Linked DNA regions of Saccharomyces cerevisiae S288C. Changing the gene in region 1 together with any one later gene gives a genetic interaction. Each region holds a gene or a part of one and is shown on either strand. Other genes may lie near its edges.

What was found. A genetic interaction does not mean that the proteins touch.
Region 2: mutations in HAA1 (region 1) and MPT5 impair growth when combined (synthetic growth defect), as found in Saccharomyces cerevisiae (one study listed by BioGRID).
Region 3: mutations in HAA1 (region 1) and SDO1 impair growth when combined (synthetic growth defect), as found in Saccharomyces cerevisiae (one study listed by BioGRID).

Annotation. Positions count from the first base shown.
Region 1 is NC_001148.4:571,332-577,844, forward strand, and holds HAA1 (Haa1p), read left to right. Parts: upstream 1-1,686; coding exon 1,687-3,771; downstream 3,772-6,513. Other genes in the region: REC8 (Rec8p), read right to left, coding at 1-47; SUT2 (Sut2p), read left to right, coding at 5,221-6,027; DNA-directed RNA polymerase I core subunit RPA135, read right to left, coding at 6,254-6,513. UniProt on the Saccharomyces cerevisiae protein: Regulates the transcription of a set of genes, many of which encode membrane proteins. Among the genes regulated are YGR138C and YRO2. Does not seem to be dependent on copper.
Region 2 is NC_001139.9:163,281-171,071, forward strand, and holds MPT5 (Mpt5p), read left to right. Parts: upstream 1-4,071; coding exon 4,072-4,074; intron 4,075-4,714; coding exon 4,715-7,291; downstream 7,292-7,791. Other genes in the region: serine/threonine protein kinase TOS3, read right to left, coding at 129-1,811. UniProt on the Saccharomyces cerevisiae protein: RNA-binding protein involved in post-transcriptional regulation. Negatively regulates expression of HO by binding to the 3'-UTR of HO mRNA. Predominantly binds to mRNAs encoding chromatin modifiers and spindle pole body components.
Region 3 is NC_001144.5:183,674-188,952, reverse strand, and holds SDO1 (guanine nucleotide exchange factor SDO1), read left to right. Parts: upstream 1-4,026; coding exon 4,027-4,779; downstream 4,780-5,279. Other genes in the region: putative ubiquitin-protein ligase UBR2, read left to right, coding at 1-1,290; IZH3 (Izh3p), read left to right, coding at 1,824-3,455; IRC25 (Irc25p), read right to left, coding at 4,791-5,279. UniProt on the Saccharomyces cerevisiae protein: Involved in the biogenesis of the 60S ribosomal subunit and translational activation of ribosomes.

The DNA of each region.
Region 1 (6,513 bases):
CCCTTATATTTCTTGTCATCTTTAAAGTTCAACGAAAGAGGTGCCATTGCAGAATATTTGTAATATTAATCTATATATAGCAAATGCTTTAGAGTTGCTGAGGCTAAAAAGAAATTATAGAACAACTATAAAATATTAAGTCCGGATACACTGCTTCCTTTATACCATGCCCTTCCCTTTATAGTGTAAAAACGCGTAATCTTAATCAATCTGATATATTGGTTTGCCGCCGAAGTCAAGTTCTCCTGCTAAAACGAGACAAAAAGAACACGTGAAAGAAGAAAGAAAAACGTTACGATAAAATAAGTTTTATACCTACTTTCATATCTACCAAAGGAACACAATGAATTGCCGTATGTTATTCTTGAAGTAAGAGTCAAGTATTATTTATGGACTAGTATTCACGTTACTAGTACATTATCACATGCGGTGTAAGAAGATGATATAAAAATTGAGGGACAGTAATCAAATTCAACGGAAGTCAAAAAGGAAGGATTGGTAATGTATAATATCGAAAAATGTGCGAAATAGTTGATAATTGTTGGAGTTTTATAGTTGTTAAAGGCTATAATATTACGTATTTAGAATATACTAGAATTTCTCTATGAGAAGAACCCACGAAGAGATCGATATTCTCGATATAATGGCATTATTGTTATCCTTTTCATCTTATGTGACTGTCATTCATCATCCTACTAAATTATCAATCCTTGCAATTAGCTTCTATTACACCTGATGACTGTTTTTCAATCTTTATGTGATCTTTTTACACCCAATGTGATAAAGTACTAGTAACATGAATACTACTAAACAGATGATACTTTAGAGTTTTCATTCCAACACTCAATTGTAAAAATAAGACAATATTATGATTTTTTGGCTGTATAACCACATCTATTTAGTAGCAGGGTGACATGTTACTCCCACACAATACTTCGCGCAAGTGGTTTAGTGGTAAAATCCAACGTTGCCATCGTTGGGCCCCCGGTTCGATTCCGGGCTTGCGCAATTTTTCCCCCTCGCCCTGAAGGGCGTAACGTTAACGCTTCCGGTAATTTGCGAATAATTTTTCTTCCCATTTCCCCTTTCTTTTCCCTTTAACATGTGGAGCATAGCAGGCTCTTTACTTTTTTACGCATTCAGACAGTCGGGAGGTCAATTGGTGGTGCCGGTTGTGGGAAAGAGGTAATTTTATTTCCTTTATTGGACATGATTTCAATAGTCACATTGGGGCAGGAAAAAGAAAAGGGAGAAAAAAATTCAGTAAAGAAAAAAAATAAGAAAAAGAGAAAAGAAACAAGAGAGGGCTACAGATTTCTAAATATCCTTTTGCTGCACATTTTTTATTTACCTGCTAATTGGTCTTAGTAATACAGAGTCGTGCATTTCCACTTTATAAGAAAAAAAAAAGGGATAACAGCACCAGCACTTGATTGAAAACTAGAAAGTTCACGTTTTATAAGTCCTTTCCGTTCTCTTTATCAGTTATAATAAAAGAGCCAAGACAAAACGTGGCAGGGAAGCTTTTCCAAGGAAAAGAGGGTTGTAATATTAAACAAAAACCGTAATCAAGCAAAATAAGACCCCGTGGTTTTTTATCATAGGAAAAGAGTTCTCTGTTGTCACTCTACCATATTTGACAAGAAAAAGGAAACAAAAGTATAGAAAAAAAAAACCTAAAAAATAATGGTCTTGATAAATGGCATAAAGTATGCCTGTGAGAGGTGCATAAGAGGCCATAGAGTAACAACATGCAATCATACAGATCAACCGCTTATGATGATCAAACCCAAAGGTAGACCTTCCACTACATGCGACTATTGTAAACAACTTCGAAAAAACAAGAATGCAAATCCTGAAGGTGTTTGCACGTGTGGCCGGCTAGAGAAGAAAAAACTGGCACAGAAAGCCAAAGAAGAAGCAAGAGCTAAAGCCAAAGAAAAACAAAGAAAACAGTGTACCTGCGGGACTGATGAGGTTTGCAAATATCATGCTCAAAAGAGACATCTAAGAAAGTCCCCTTCAAGTTCTCAAAAGAAAGGAAGATCCATTTCTCGTTCTCAACCAATGTTTGAAAGGGTATTGTCTTCTACTTCACTTGACAGCAATATGTTATCCGGCCACGGAGCACTATCAGATACCTCTAGCATACTGACGAGCACATTTTTAGACAGTGAGCCGGGTGTTGGTAAAATTTCAAAAGATTACCATCATGTCCCTTCATTGGCCTCCATTTCATCCTTACAATCCTCGCAATCGTTAGATCAAAATTTCAGTATACCACAAAGCCCGCCGTTATCTTCAATGTCATTTAATTTTCTCACGGGAAATATCAATGAAACCAACCAAAATCACAGTAATCATCAGCATTCAAAATCAGGCAATAACTGGCAAGATAGTTCGGTAAGCTTGCCAGCGAAAGCTGATTCACGTCTTAACATGATGGATAAAAACAACTCTGTGGGTCTTGACCTATTAGGCCATTCAAAACGAATATCGCCGATATCAAACTCTCGTGTGGGCGAAGTTAGCGTTCCGCTAGAAGAATATATTCCTTCTGACATTGATGGGGTTGGAAGAGTTACTGATAAAAGCTCTTTGGTCTACGATTGGCCATTTGATGAAAGTATTGAGAGAAATTTCAGTACAACCGCAACCGCTGCAACTGGTGAAAGTAAGTTCGACATTAACGACAACTGTAATAGAATTAATAGCAAAAGTTATAGTAAGACTAATAGTATGAATGGAAACGGTATGAACAATAGCAATAATAATAATATCAACAGTAATGGCAACGACAAGAACAATAACAACTCTTCTAGACAAGAACATCAAGGAAATGGACTATTTGACATGTTTACAGATTCATCGTCGATTTCAACGCTTTCCCGTGCAAACTTATTATTGCAAGAAAAAATTGGTTCGCAAGAAAACTCTGTCAAACAAGAAAACTATTCGAAAAATCCTCAACTTCGTCATCAATTAACTTCCAGAAGTAGATCATTTATTCATCATCCGGCAAACGAGTATTTGAAGAATACTTTTGGAAATTCACATAGTAATGACATCGGAAAGGGAGTTGAAGTGCTATCTTTGACACCGAGTTTTATGGATATTCCCGAAAAAGAAAGAGAAACGGAAAGATCGCCATCATCCAATTACATTACTGACAGACCTTTCACTCGAAAACCTAGATCTTCTAGCATTGACGTAAACCATAGGTATCCACCTATGGCACCAACAACCGTAGCGACATCTCCCGGTGCATTGAACAATGCCGTAGCAAGCAATCTCGACGATCAACTGAGTTTAACATCACTAAACTCTCAGCCATCATCGATAGCAAATATGATGATGGACCCTTCAAACCTAGCTGAGCAAAGTTCTATTCATTCAGTTCCTCAGTCAATAAACTCTCCGAGAATGCCTAAAACTGGAAGTCGCCAAGACAAGAACATTCACACTAAGAAGGAAGAAAGAAATCCGCTAAATAACATACACGATCTGTCACAATTGGAAAATGTACCAGACGAGATGAACCAAATGTTCTCCCCACCATTAAAAAGTATGAATAGACCGGATGCCATAAGGGAAAATTCATCTAGTAGTAATTTCATAATCCAAGGAAATAGCATGATCTCTACGCCTTCCGGAAGGAATGACCTTCCAGATACCTCTCCAATGAGTAGTATTCAAACAGCGTCACCACCAAGTCAATTACTGACCGATCAAGGATTTGCGGATTTGGATAATTTCATGTCTTCGTTATGATAAATTTGCTTTTCGTCTCTTGCTTCTCTGTAACTGTAGTTTTCCTCCTCCCACATATATATATATATATACACTTTTATACACCTAATAATATCATCGGCATTATGATTGCTTATACATTTTCATAATCAATATTACTGTTCACCATTTGAATCACTGCAGAAATATGCACTGCGCCTTCTTTTTCTTTGCCTGAAGCACCCACACACAAGAACAGGAATGTGAATGGCCTCCCCATCTCACTTTTACTTAATAGTATTCTGACAATATAAGGTATCAGAGAGTAAGACCATTATTAGGCAAACAATAATCTTCAGAATTTTTAGTAGCGCATTCTCAACCTTTCTAGGTGCGTTTTTCTAATGAAATAGTATCGTTTTCCTTCCGCATTCCTTGCGTAGTTTGTTGTGTAAATATAGCAATAAGAAACCCTATAAATCATTATGATGTAACTCCCGATTCTTTTAAATAATTACATAAACTAGGAAGGCAAGTCCGAACACGCAGAGATGAGGTATTTGCACTCAATGACAAATCTAGGTTTAAACTACGGGGCTCCATACCTTATCTCTTCACTTATCAAAAGTAGGCAAAAGAAAAGAAAATAAATATAATTTCTTTTTCTGCAGGCAAGATTTTAAAAGAACTTGCGCGTCCTCTGTGCAATCTACCTGGGGAGTCTCGGGCTTTAACCGCTCCCCATTCTAAACTGCTTCCATTGACGTGTACTATACTGCTCACTTCTTGCTCTTCGAGCAACAAAATCTGTATTACGTTTCTTACACTAGTCGAGTGAAAGAGATAAGATACCCACTTTTACTTGCCGGGAGAATGGAAAAGAGAAAACGGAAGAAAGGGCTTAAATACATTTTCCTTTAATATGAACATCCTACTGTAAGATAAAAATTGGATGCTGATAATGGAAAGGAGACATGTACGGTATGTACGGCAAAACCTCGGCGGGTTTTCGCCGCTAGCTCATATATTCTTTCGTTAAATTTTAAAATTTCTTATTCTAAATCTTCTTTACATGTTTGGAAAGAATTTATTGGAGAGAAAAATCTAGACCTGCCAAGCCGATAAACGAATGCCTGCGAAGAAATAGTGTAAATATTACTCCTGAAGGTAGAGTCATCTAGGCGGAGACGAAAACAAAGTTTAGCTTTTCGTGAAATTGCCCATTTCATGTTTATCAACCACCAAAGGTTAAATGGAGGTTTGACAAAAGAAATTTTCTTGCTAAAGGTTAGCATTTTTTTTGGAATTTTTTTTCCTTCGACTGGCTGTAGTTGTCCTTCTATATTACGTACAACAAAAACTTTCTTGAATGAAGAATTAGTTCTATCATATAGACCATAAGAAAGAAAACGCACTTGGATAATTTTTAACAAAGAAGAGGGCAAACTGACGCTCACCAAGCTATTGGTTTGTTTGGATCAATCGTCAGATATGAAGCCGAACAATCGAACTTGTGATGTAATTACCAACAAAGATGAATCTCTTCCTGCACTTTTGCTGCCTGCACTGAACAGTTACACCTGTGACGATTCATTGCTAAAAGGACAAATTTCAAGCAATGGCAGATATCAACCATTCGGGTTTTCTGATTGCTCTTTACTGCCAAAGCGTTTAAACATTCAGGCAGGGCAAGGATCTATGCCAGTTTCTTCGATTCAATGTGCAGACCACAGTTATAGTAATTGGCAAAAAGAATCCGAAAAGACTAAGCTTCCCAAGCTTGGTTGCCCAACAGAGTACACTGAATACTATAAAACTGTTTCTTCCGGCGAAACAACCGATTCAGCGGTTGTTTCATCTATAGCAACGAACAGACTCAAAAGAAAACGTCAGAGGGACGGCCCAAGTTGTGACTCTTGTAGGATAAAGAAAATAAAATGCAATGCAACAATCATTATCTTTTTACAGGATAGGAACCTAATTTCATCAATTTCTTCAAATTTGCATTATACACTTTCCCAAGACGACATAAACCAGTTTCGAATGAAGTTTTTCAGGAAACTGCCTGACGTGATGGGCACATATGAAGTCATAAAACACCTTGATAAAATAGTCCTTTTCAAAGCCTGCACCTCTTGCAGTAGAAGAAACCAAAAAAATGGAAAGTGTCTTTTTTCGAGAGGATTTACAAAATCTGATATGAACGTATTTCCCAAGATAAATAGTAAACTTAAAGACAAAAGTATCTTCGAGATGACTGTCGATGATTATGTTGCCGCTGGCTTCCAAACCCTTTAGGTTTCATGCATGTAATTTCCTCCTATGTAAAATATAGGAATATTAATAAAACGCACCAATAATAAGTTAGATATTTTTCTGCAAGATATAAATTTGTTTACTCATACATATATATTCTATTGCGGGGCGCTCTTGTATAAGTAATTCAATAAAAAACCTCTATATGATACAATTGACCAAGCCTTCATTTACCATTCTATATCAATTTGGAAAGAAGGGTATTTCTCTATTTGGGCTCTACATTATAACGCAATCTTATACCCATTGCGGATAGCTCAGAGTCCAAGTACTTCAACACAAATGGTATGGCCACCGTAGTTGTTTCATTACCACCAACAAATTTGTTACCTTGTCCATCTTCCCAAATTTGAGAGTCGTCAATAAAAATTTTCTCTCCATCTTCTGATTTAGTCAATAGCTTCTTTGCATCTTCGAATCTCATGGAACAACGACGGCAACAAACGGTGGAAATCGAACCAATTCTTG
Region 2 (7,791 bases), on another chromosome or scaffold:
AAACGTTCAAAAACAAACACAATATTAAAAGAATTGGTATTAGGATCCGACATGACAATTAACTTAGATCCTTCTATCAAGTTTCTAATCATATATTACATCTATTAAAATAATTTACATATATCATGCTAAAGCTTATAAAGAGACATTCTTCTTCTCGTGCGCTGGGCGTCGCTAGCCTCAAATACAAGTGATGCGTCTGCTTCTATTCTAAGGTCATCCTTGCTGTTAGATTTCCCTTCTACCAGGTGGGCTTTTATACGTTGAGGTACATTACCGACAGGCGTAAGAGTAGAGCTCAAACTTGCTTCCGTACTCTCAAAGGGATATTCTCCTACAGGAGACATAGTTGTATATTGTGGAAACTCACAAGAATTCACTCTTAATGAACTTCCACTCTCACCTATCAAGCATTGTTGATCACCGATTGCTGGGGCATCCTGAATACTGATCTGAGATGCAAAAGCGGTGGATGATGTGAAAGAGGAAAAGGACGAATAGGATGACTCTCTAGAACCGATGTTGTGATATGCTGAGGGTGATAAGGTATTTGCGTCGTATATTGATGGAGAATATGTTGAATTTCTGTCAGCACCAGTCCTAAGGTTATTGTGGTCAAAATTTTCCATATAAACGCTATCTAAAGAGGCGAATGATGAATTCACTGGTAGGCTGACCAATTCTACCCTTTTGCATGAAGAGGGCGGTGAAACTTTCAACTCATGAAACGTCTCCAAATTGGTCAATACGGATGCTGCATCGCTTTTACCATAATGGCACATAAACGGATGTACCTTGATGTCTGCTAGTTTTATCCGTTTGTCAGGATCTTTTTGTAACAGCTTCTTCAATAAATCTTTGGCATCAGTGTATTCTTCCATTGTGATTCCCGAAGTGGCACCATTCAACATTTCCTCATAAGATGGAAATTCTAAGGGTTTATTGATAATACTGTCGAAAAGTTCTAATCCTGAATTGGCGTTGAAAGGCAACTTTCCAAACAACAAGCAGTATATAGTGACCCCCAATGACCAGATATCGATGGCAGATGAGCAGGAATACTCTTTTTCAGTGGAGCAAAGCTCAGGTGCAAAAAAAGCAGGGGTCCCTAAGGCTCTAGATTTTAAAAGTTGTTCATGCGATGATTGTATATTAGTACTTCCGGTGGCAGTTGACATAGCAACGCCAAAATCGGATATTTTCACCGTTCCGTTTGATGAAATTAACAGGTTCGATGGTTTGATATCTCGATGCGTTATCCCTTGGGAATGTAAATACTCCAGACCCGATACTACATCCAACACTACCTTCCTCGACTGTTGGAAAGTGAGTATTGATGGTCCCACTGCTTTTATCTCCATTTTGTTTTCTGGACACCATTTAACGGGTCCCCTTGAGCAATATTCTAATACAAGATAAACCTTTGTGCTCTCAGGGTCATTCAAAATTTCATACAATTCCACAACGTTTTCATGATGACATCTTTTCATTACTTCAATTTCTTGATTAACCCTTGGATTTTCTACTTTCAATTGAAGAGAATACCCGCTTCTTTTTTCGAATCTATTAAGAATTTTTATTGCAACCAACGCACCTGTCCCGAGATCTCTTGCTAATTTCACTTTGCCGTACTGTCCATTACCCAAAGTGGCTAAAATTTCAAAGTTGTTAAGGATTTGTCTCTTAGTTAAGGGATTATATAATAGTTTGACTTTTCTTGTCTCTTTTATACGACTACTACTATTGCTCGCATTATTATATAACAGAGATGATCGAGGCAGCGGCTGAACAGGTTCTTTAAGTAGTACCATATTCTTCAAAGCTTCCTTTTTATATGCAGAATATGTGCGCAGCAATTTCAAGGCGTAGAGTACGAGTCACTAGAGGCTCGAGCATTATATACCACTTACAAGTAGTGTTTCTTATTGGGGACACCTGTCCTAACAATGTATGGCTTTATATACCGCGCGGATAAGTAAGGCACACCCGCTCTTCGTATAATACCCGCACAAAAGATTCAGGGACCGGGTATGCTCAACGAAAAAAATAGCCAAGATTGTTGCGAGTCCTCATCAATGAGGACATACAGAGAATAAAAACAGCCATATTTTGCTTGCTGAAGGACGTTGTGCAAACCGAAGATATCAGCGGTAGTCTTTATAGGACCCGTTGGTTTATTATATACAAAGGGATCTTTAAAAGGTCCGGTGCGAGGGGACGGGTGGAGATGGAAGTTATCAACCAAATGCAATTTATCCGAAGCGCAAAAAAAATAAAGGTGCTCCGATGGACCTTAGAAAGGAACTCCAAAATGCTGTGATGGACCGGCGAGGGCGGTAAACGAAACTACCACATTGCATAAGAAACAAAATGTACGGCCCCTTCTACACAATCTATTTATGGTTTTCGTCTTGACCTCCTAATTACTTAATTAATGATTACATTTCTTAAAAGCACAAAAATAAAGTAGCTACCCTTCTTAAGCCATAGTAGTTAAAGCCTCAAGTGCATTGATAATCTCCTGACCCTAGGTCGTCTTTCGCGTGGGCTATCGCCACCTAAGGAAAGGATTAAATGGAGCAAGTATTGGAAATGTAAAGAAATTGCAGAATGTTCTGATTACTTTTCATCACCCAAAGAGTCCATACTACCACTACCACCAACCATTGCCGGTGAGCGGTTTCTTGCTCATTAACATGACGTACAAGGGAACGGAATGTCCCTTGTACGTTGTAATGTCTTTTGCTCTCGTAAAGAAGCCTATACACGCCCCTTCCTTCCGCCCTTCGGCATCCGCTGCCAACTGGGTGGGGGCTCAATGGATCTCTTTACTCTGGCCCTTAGAAGCCTTCTGAAATTCTCGGCTTAGGCATCGAACGATGAAGAAACTAACTAAAAATATACGCCATTTTTTTGGGGAGGGGGGGCCGCACTGAAACGCGAAATGCCAAAAAAACGCGAAACGCCGCAGTAAAAGGTCAGTACCGCGCAAAAAATACAAAAATGACAACAATATTGGCCTTTCTTTTCCTAAAGCAATTAACTGGAAAGCGAGGTTCTAAACATCTGGCCAACCCCTAAATTTTTAATAATTCCGAAGCGGGATATATTGCATCTGGCAATCTGAAAAGCAATAGAAAGAAGCGGCCTAGTACTGCATAGTGAGTGATAAAATATACATATTAAGGTTGGGGAAATGGTACGCGCTTTCAAGTAGCTAGAAAGATCTGAATGTTCTGAAGTACGGTTTGGATTTATACGCGGTTATTTCCTGGACTAGCTTAGAGCCAATTAATACTGACGATTGCCTCTTTTTCTTTACCGTTTATGTATGCTGTATGCCCTTTTCATGTATAAAAGAAGGGTAATTTAAAAAAGTTTATAATCATCCAGATTCCTTATTTTTTTTCTTCTTTCGCCAGGTGTTTTACCCAGCTAAGACTAACCTTGTGGTTCAGATTACACTAGTATTGCCGTCCGATATTACAATTCTGAAATCAGTTTTCTTGTGATCATTCTTTTTTTCTCTCTTGCCATTCTTAAACGTGGCCTACAAGAACTCTTCTTCTTTCCTGGTTCGCATCTGTGTTAAACGTATAGATTTTCTTACATAGAGGCCTAAAAAGCATAATAGGTGGTTTCCTTTCAATATATATCTGAAACATTGAATATACTGAACACAATTCACATTTCAAAACCTTGGGTACTGTTGAGTCAACATCAAGATCAGCCTATTTCATAATTTACTTTATCTTTTCACACAAAAAGAGAACAGGTAAAAAAGAACAGATCTGCTAGCCCCGAGAAGATCATTGACACATCATTGATTGGCAAGTTAAGTAATAAAAGAAAGGTAATAACATCAAGAAGTCAAGCGCCTTGAAATTACTAGATTTGGACTACGGATCAGCAAAAGCCTGCTACTACAACCGCCACTTTTACTATTCCTTAAGATAAAAGCTAAAAAACCAAAAAAAAAAAAAAAAAAACCTCCTCAACTCCTCTCCAACACATAGTAAAGCGAATTCTACGCAAATTTATAAATCAATTACGATTTTTCCAGTTTCTCTTATGGTATGTATTATCTCTTAATTCCCAATATTTTTCTTCGCCAATGGAGCATAAGCTTTAACGGGATCTTCTAACAACAAATAGCATAATAACCAAAAACCAGCTTCAGTGGGATCAGCCTATCGACACGCCTTTTTTAGCGGTCTAACAATCTCCGTTTATGTCGTATGGAATTTCTGATACTTGACCCTACCTTATTTCTCGAATATGCCTATAAGGATTTTCTCGAAAGAAGGGCTTCGGGAAAGAGGCGCCTCAGGCAAAAATGAGCAAAAAAAAAAAAAAAAAGAAAAGATTCGAAGATCTATGAAAAATTTATGCAGATTCGTTGAGAGTTATAAGGATTTTACTCTTTATGGTTATAGGTTTCATTCTAAAATCAAGCATAAATTTTGTGTTTTGTCTTCCTCTTTTCCTGTCCTCTTTTTTTGCCATCCTCTGTCGCCATTGAAGTCGAACTTTATAGATAGATTTACTCTTGATTCTCACGCATCTCAGGCCACCTGGACACTGTACATGGTTGTGATTGTTCTCTTTCTCAGTTATCGAAATTGATCCTAGGCTTATACTCCAAAATCGGCTCTGCACACGCCTTATTTTTGTGGTTTCACTTTACTAACACAACATTCTTTTATTCAATCAGATCAATAACGAACCATTTCCATCTGCCGACTCAGCATCGATTTTAACTACGTCTACATCAAATAACTCCTTAATGTCTTACAATCATCAGCCTCAACTATCTATTAACTCCGTCCAATCACTCTTGGAGCCCGTGACCCCTCCGCCTTTGGGCCAGATGAATAACAAAAGAAACCATCAAAAGGCTCATTCGCTTGATCTCTCTGGTTTTAATCAGTTCATATCATCGACACAATCTCCCTTGGCTTTGATGAATAATACATCAACATCGAATTCTGCTAACTCTTTTTCCCCGAATCCTAATGCTGCTAGCAACTCCACTGGGCTTTCAGCCTCAATGGCAAATCCTCCAGCCATTCTACCATTAATCAATGAGTTTGATCTGGAAATGGATGGTCCCAGGAGAAAATCAAGCCACGATTTCACGGTTGTTGCTCCTTCGAACTCTGGTGTCAATACCTCCAGTTTAATTATGGAAACACCATCCTCTTCAGTGACTCCTGCTGCATCTCTCAGAAATTTTAGCAATAGTAATAATGCTGCTTCCAAATGTGGAGTGGATAATTCGTCATTTGGTTTGAGTAGCTCAACGTCTTCATCTATGGTCGAAATCAGCGCACTACCCCTTAGAGATCTGGATTATATCAAACTTGCCACTGACCAGTTTGGCTGCCGTTTTCTTCAAAAAAAATTAGAAACCCCCAGTGAATCCAATATGGTGAGAGACTTGATGTATGAACAAATTAAGCCATTTTTCTTGGACCTTATTTTGGATCCGTTCGGTAACTATTTGGTTCAAAAACTATGCGATTATTTAACTGCCGAGCAAAAGACATTATTAATACAAACAATATATCCAAATGTTTTCCAAATATCAATCAATCAGTACGGAACTCGTTCCTTACAGAAAATTATAGACACTGTCGATAACGAAGTTCAAATCGATCTCATTATTAAGGGATTTTCCCAAGAATTTACTTCGATTGAGCAAGTGGTTACTTTGATAAACGATCTTAATGGTAACCATGTGATTCAAAAGTGTATTTTCAAATTCTCGCCATCAAAATTTGGTTTCATCATAGATGCTATTGTAGAACAAAATAATATCATTACCATTTCTACCCATAAACATGGTTGTTGCGTACTACAAAAATTACTAAGCGTTTGTACTCTACAACAAATTTTCAAAATTTCTGTGAAAATTGTGCAGTTCCTTCCTGGATTAATCAACGATCAGTTCGGTAATTATATCATCCAATTTCTGTTAGATATCAAAGAATTGGACTTTTACTTATTGGCTGAGTTATTTAACCGTTTATCCAATGAATTATGTCAACTATCTTGTTTGAAGTTCTCCTCAAATGTTGTGGAAAAATTCATTAAAAAATTATTTAGAATCATTACTGGATTTATTGTTAATAACAATGGGGGTGCCTCCCAAAGGACTGCAGTTGCTTCTGATGACGTGATTAATGCTTCTATGAACATTCTTTTGACTACCATTGATATATTCACAGTCAATTTAAATGTGCTAATCAGGGATAATTTTGGTAATTATGCGTTACAAACGCTATTAGACGTTAAGAATTATTCTCCTCTGCTTGCTTACAACAAAAATAGTAACGCAATTGGGCAAAACAGCTCTAGTACATTGAATTACGGTAACTTTTGTAACGATTTTTCATTGAAAATTGGTAACTTGATTGTCCTTACAAAAGAATTACTTCCAAGTATTAAAACTACATCCTATGCAAAGAAAATTAAGTTGAAAGTTAAAGCTTATGCAGAAGCCACAGGTATACCATTCACTGACATATCTCCTCAAGTCACTGCAATGAGTCATAACAATCTTCAAACGATTAACAACGAAAATAAGAACCCCCATAACAAAAATAGTCATAATCATAATCATAATCATAATCATAACCATGCTCACAATAATAATAACAATAATAATCAAAAGAGTCATACCCGTCATTTTTCTTTACCAGCTAATGCTTACCATAGAAGAAGTAACAGCTCTGTAACCAATAATTTCTCAAACCAATATGCACAAGATCAGAAAATTCACTCTCCGCAACAAATTATGAACTTCAACCAAAACGCATATCCCTCGATGGGAGCACCTTCTTTCAATTCTCAAACTAACCCACCATTGGTAAGCCATAACTCGTTACAAAACTTCGACAACCGCCAGTTTGCAAATTTAATGGCACATCCTAATTCTGCTGCACCAATCCATTCGTTCTCATCATCTAACATTACCAATGTGAATCCTAATGTTTCAAGGGGATTTAAGCAGCCTGGATTTATGATGAATGAAACCGACAAAATTAATGCTAATCACTTCTCGCCATACTCTAATGCAAATAGTCAAAACTTCAATGAATCTTTTGTGCCTCGTATGCAATATCAAACGGAAGGTGCAAACTGGGATTCAAGTTTGTCAATGAAGTCGCAGCATATTGGTCAAGGCCCATATAATCAAGTTAATATGAGCCGCAACGCTAGTATTTCCAATATGCCTGCCATGAATACCGCTAGAACATCTGATGAACTTCAATTCACTTTGCCATAATACTTTTTTTTCTTTCTTTTTCTTTCCTTCTTACTGTACAAATATTTTACGCAGAAATCAAAGACAAAAGAAAAATAAAAAATAAAAAATAAAAAATTCAACTAAGCAATGACGTCCTACTAAAGTCCCAAAATTTGAGCCGGAAAAAAATGGTAAAGCAAACTATTGCCATCTTTATATTTTGTATTCTGTTTCCGAACACGTATCCAAAATCCTCCCACTGCCTTTGCAGGGTTAGCATTGCTCCCTACCAAAATGATCTAATTTTTTTTTGAATCGTTTTTTGTCAACGATTATTTTTGTTTTAAATTCCTCATCTTCTGAACTTACGCCCAACTATTATTTAATTCATTCATTCATTAAGCAATCCATACGTCCATTCATTCATTCAGTTTTCTTTTTGTCTATTACTGTCATTTTATTTTCAAATCCAATTGTCCTTTAGGACACTAATGTGTTAAAATATCCATTCGCTCAAGCATTTTTAATAAATAGGAAAA
Region 3 (5,279 bases), on another chromosome or scaffold:
AGATCGCACAAAAAGGAAGGAAAAATAGTGAATATGGAAAGAATATCCAGTCAGTGCATTTTAACCTTACATTTAGTTTGTGAGCTAAAGTCGTTTATTTACAAAAAATTTGTTAATTCAAAAACATTCAGCAGCGAAATCTCTCGTAAAATATGGAATTGGAATGAGTTTCTAATAAAGGGTAATAATGTGAATCTACTTTTGTATATGAGTCAAAATTTTGATAATATTGATGGAGGAAAAACCCCGCAACCGCCTAACCTATGTATCTATGAAATGTTCAAAAGAAGGTTCCATCAACTACTACTGTTGCTTGCAAGAGATATGATGAGAGTAAACTTTTACAAAGACTGTCGAAATAAAATCAAAATATCATCAAACGGATCTGAGGAACCATCGACAAGCTTTTCATATCTATTCAATACTTTTAAAAAGTATGTTGATCTCTTTAAACCAGACGACGTTCGGTTTGATTTTACAAGTTTAGAGAAAATTAAAGACTTTATATGCTCTCTATTACTAGAGTCATTGTCCATTTTTTGTAGAAGAACCTTCTTATTATTCAACATTCAGTATGATGATGATGGTGATGGTGATAATAATAATAACCGCAGCAATAATTTCATGGACGTCAAACAGCGTGAAATAGAGCTTATTTTCCGGTATTTTAAATTACCCAATTTAACTCACTTTTTGAAGGATTTTTTCTACAACGAACTAACACAAAATATAGAAAGGTATAATGATGGTAATGATAATTTGAGAATTCAGCAAGTAATATATGACATGGTGCAGAACATAAACACAAGAGCATATCCTTCACCAGAGCATATCCAGCTTATCGAACTACCATTGAACCTTTCCAAATTTTCCCTTGATAATGATGAAATATCGAATAAATGTGATAAATACGAAATCGCAGTATGCTTGTTGTGTGGCCAAAAATGCCATATTCAAAAAAGCATAGCACTGCAAGGTTATTTACAGGGGGAATGTACTGATCATATGAGAAATGGATGCGAAATCACCTCCGCTTACGGAGTTTTCTTAATGACCGGCACAAATGCGATATATCTGTCATACGGCAAAAGAGGTACATTTTATGCTGCACCTTATCTAAGTAAATACGGAGAGACCAACGAAGACTACAAATTCGGTACTCCCGTCTATTTGAATCGGGCGAGATACGCGAATCTAGCGAATGAGATTGTTTTTGGCAACATGATTCCGCACATAGTGTTCCGACTAACGGACGGCAGTGCAGATCTTGGTGGGTGGGAGACTATGTAGTTATCCAACAAATGTCTAGTCATTCAAAATTGCTACGAAATTAGCGTATCCGAAAAATCAAAAGAAATTTTATCTGTTTTAATTGGCGTGGGGAAGTGGGGTAGGGTCGAGGATCATTACGCTTTCTCGTGGGAAGGGACAGGGACGGACCGAAAAAAAAAGAAATGCCGCAGAAAAAGAAATGTTTTAGTGTGGGGTATGGGCTGAAGCTCGTATAGTGCAGGGTGACTTCACTTTTCTTTTTACCCTGCAGGAAATGGAGAAAGTGTTGATGGATAAGGTATATAGTCATAAGGTGACACAGCGTGGGTGTACATCTAGAAAGCTTGGCGATTCGAGCGAAGTGGTGGTTTACTCGTTTTATAATAAGAGTTTTTGGACATTATTTTTTCTTTAGGACACAGTTGATTCAAATTCTACACTTGTTTTGTCGTCTGGTAAAGTTTAGCCATTGTAAAGTGGACAAAGAAGAAGCTGCAACGCAGATAAGCTGAAAAATAGTTCACATCCCAACAGACAATCAAATTAAGTACATGATGGACTCGTCAAGCAAAAGCTTAACTCAGTATATACCCTCACCCATGGGATCTCTATCAAGGCTAAAGCAGAAGGGTGTGGACAATTTTCAGAAGGTGAAAAAATCCGGTAAATCCATCTATAATTACAACTACTCAAAATTCGTTCCTCATCCATTTTCAACTATTGATGAAAGTGTTAAACACTCTGAAAGTGGGCGGTATGATGATTTGGAGATAATTCGTCCAACAAAAGAAAAGGAAGTAACAAGTTCTGTGTACAAAAGAAACAGTGGCAAGTCTCTGAATACAGAATCTCAGTTTTCACTGGGAGATTCAGATGCAGCCACTTTGGTGAATTCAGTCGCTACTTTCAAGCTTAACAATGCTTCTACATCCACTTCACTGGTGTCTTCATCTTCAACTGTATGTTCTCAAGCGAAGTCCTCGTTACGTTCCCCAACAAGTCGTCTCAATGATACAAAAATCAAAGAGGAAAACAATTATATTTCCAGCGTGAAAGACTATTGCGGTCCAATGAGAAAATCCATGGTAAAGACGGAAATCCTCATTGAAGAACCTTTGAATCCTACTACCGATATCAAGTCTTTTATAAACTCATACAACCATGGCAAAGCGTATAGTCTAGGTGAAACTCAACATTTACATTATTATCAGTTGCCATTCCCATGGAGGGAAAACAGATACATAATCCATGGCTATAGGTTTTACAATACCCATTCCAAATCTTTGTTGTCTATCTTTAACTGGTACGGCTGGCATAATGAAACTTCAAATATTTGGTCTCATTTGTTAGGAGCCATTTATATAATCTACTTGGCAATTTACGATTTCCCTCAGTCTGAAGTTTGGCGGAATTCCCAGGTTCCACCACAGGCTAGATGGATTGTTTTCATGTTTTTGGCAGCTGCGTTGAAATGTATGCTAAGCTCCGTGTTTTGGCATACTTTCAACGGAACGTCCTTCTTGAAGCTACGTTCTAAATTTGCGTGTGTCGACTATAGCGGTATTACGATCTTAATTACAGCTTCGATATTGACAACGGAGTTTGTTACCATGTATTCATGTTACTGGGCGATGTACACTTACATGAGTATTTCTCTGGCGCTGGGTGTATTTGGTGTGTTTATGAATTGGTCGCCTCGCTTTGATAGACCTGAAGCAAGGCCATTAAGAATTAGATTCTTCATTTTGCTGGCTACTATGGGTGTATTGTCGTTTTTACATTTGATATTTTTGACTGATCTTCATTATGCTGCAACGCTATTTAGCCCCGTCACATACAAATCTGTTGTTTGGTATTTGGTTGGTGTGGTATTTTACGGTTCGTTCATTCCTGAACGGTTCAGATCTGACGTTCAGGTTGATAAGACCATTCCAACAAACTACGAATTATCTACTGATTTAGAAATCATCACAAAGCAAAGGGAAATTCATTTTAGAGAGGTGCCAACAGCCCATTCCAAATGCAGTTCCTGTCCGTCTCATGCCAAATCATTTAAATCTCTATGGTGGGTTGACTATTTTGGTTGTTCGCACACTTTTTGGCATTTCTTCGTAGTGTTGGGTGTCATCGGCCATTATAGAGCTATTTTAGATATGTTTGCCAAGAGGTGGATTTTGTCATGATGGTATGACTGACTACCTTTACTTACAACATCCTGCACTTTTTCTGTATACGATAAACGGACTTAAAAGAAAGAAAAGCCTACAATTACATTGTTGGAGAAGCCACATAGCAATTTCGAAAAAAACCAGAAATTGTAAACCACGAATTCTCCTGTATTATTTCATTGTTAAAATTTTTTTTTTACTTATATTATACCCATCTTTTTCGATATTCCTGCTGGCATTGTTTTGGCTACATTTTCAAGAAACTTTGGATCCAAAGACAAAAGGAACAAACGAAATCTAAAAGCAAAAAAAAAGTTGACTGATTATAAAAACTACATTACGACGAAAAGAAAATAATAAAACTGTGTACTTTTAGTTTTGCATTTATGTATTGACTGTTATTTAACTTATTATGACCTCATGAAAGAACAAAACTTAGCGTGTATTGTTCTGCTCAGTGCCTTGTATATATAATAATGTTCATGAAAAAATTTTTCTAGGCCGAACTTAAGTGATTTCATGCAGTAGTAAAAGTTTTTAAAATTTTTACTAAAATAGTTCTGAGAAAGAAAAGGTAAAACACGCAATGCCTATCAATCAACCGTCGGGACAGATTAAGTTAACTAATGTTTCATTAGTGAGATTAAAAAAGGCTCGCAAGAGATTTGAAGTCGCGTGCTACCAAAATAAGGTCCAAGACTATCGAAAAGGAATTGAAAAAGATCTGGATGAAGTGCTGCAGATACATCAAGTTTTCATGAATGTTTCGAAAGGCTTGGTTGCTAATAAGGAAGATCTACAAAAGTGTTTCGGGACTACAAATGTTGATGATGTCATCGAGGAGATCATGCATAAGGGAGAGATTCAATTATCGGAAAAAGAAAGACAATTAATGCTTAATAAAGTTAATAACGAAATGCTTACAATAGTTAGCGCTAAATGTATAAATCCTGTGTCAAAGAAAAGATATCCGCCCACAATGATCCACAAAGCTTTACAGGAACTGAAGTTCAGCCCTGTTATTAACAAACCTGCCAAATTGCAAGCTTTAGAGGCTATCAAATTATTGGTTTCTAAGCAAATTATTCCAATAGTAAGGGCGAAGATGAAAGTCAAAGTGGCCATAAGTGAGCCATCTAGACAACCCGAACTTATTGAGAAGATTAGTAAATTGATAGCTTCATCGCCTGGAGAGTCAACGAAGCCGGAATTGGATCCTTGGACATGTACAGGTCTTATCGATCCTGTCAATTATAGAGATTTGATGACCCTATGTGATAAAAAGGGAACTGTGCAAGTCTTGGATATGGCAGTCATAGATAATACAACGCATAACTAATTTATATAGAATCACTTTGCATACATATCTTTGATACACTTTAACACAAAAACTAATTTGCCAAAATCATTATCGTCAGCGCTTTGTTCCTTCGTTGCTCTCCATATCTTACTGCTCATGGATATCAGCAAGCTGAATTGCATGTTGTCTTGGGCCATCGTACCGCTCACTTCTGGTAGAATAACTCTCCTATATAGTTCGGCAATCTGTACGCATACCACGGGTACTTTAGGATCGGCACTATCTCCCAACTTGGTAACCACTTGATAATCAGATAAATGGTCTCTTACAAATTCTTCTTCCTCATCGTCATAATCGCCACCCGTGTTTCCTAGGTTTCCTGCCAGTGGTACGTTGATATCGAGAATTGGGTTTAGTCCTTTTGAAGATACCTCATAGGTGGAATCCATTTCCCCATTTAGTCTGATTTGCAATAGAATTGTGTTATTAAAGTGCGTGGCTTGTACATACAATTCTTTGTTTTCGGATGAAGCGTTCAA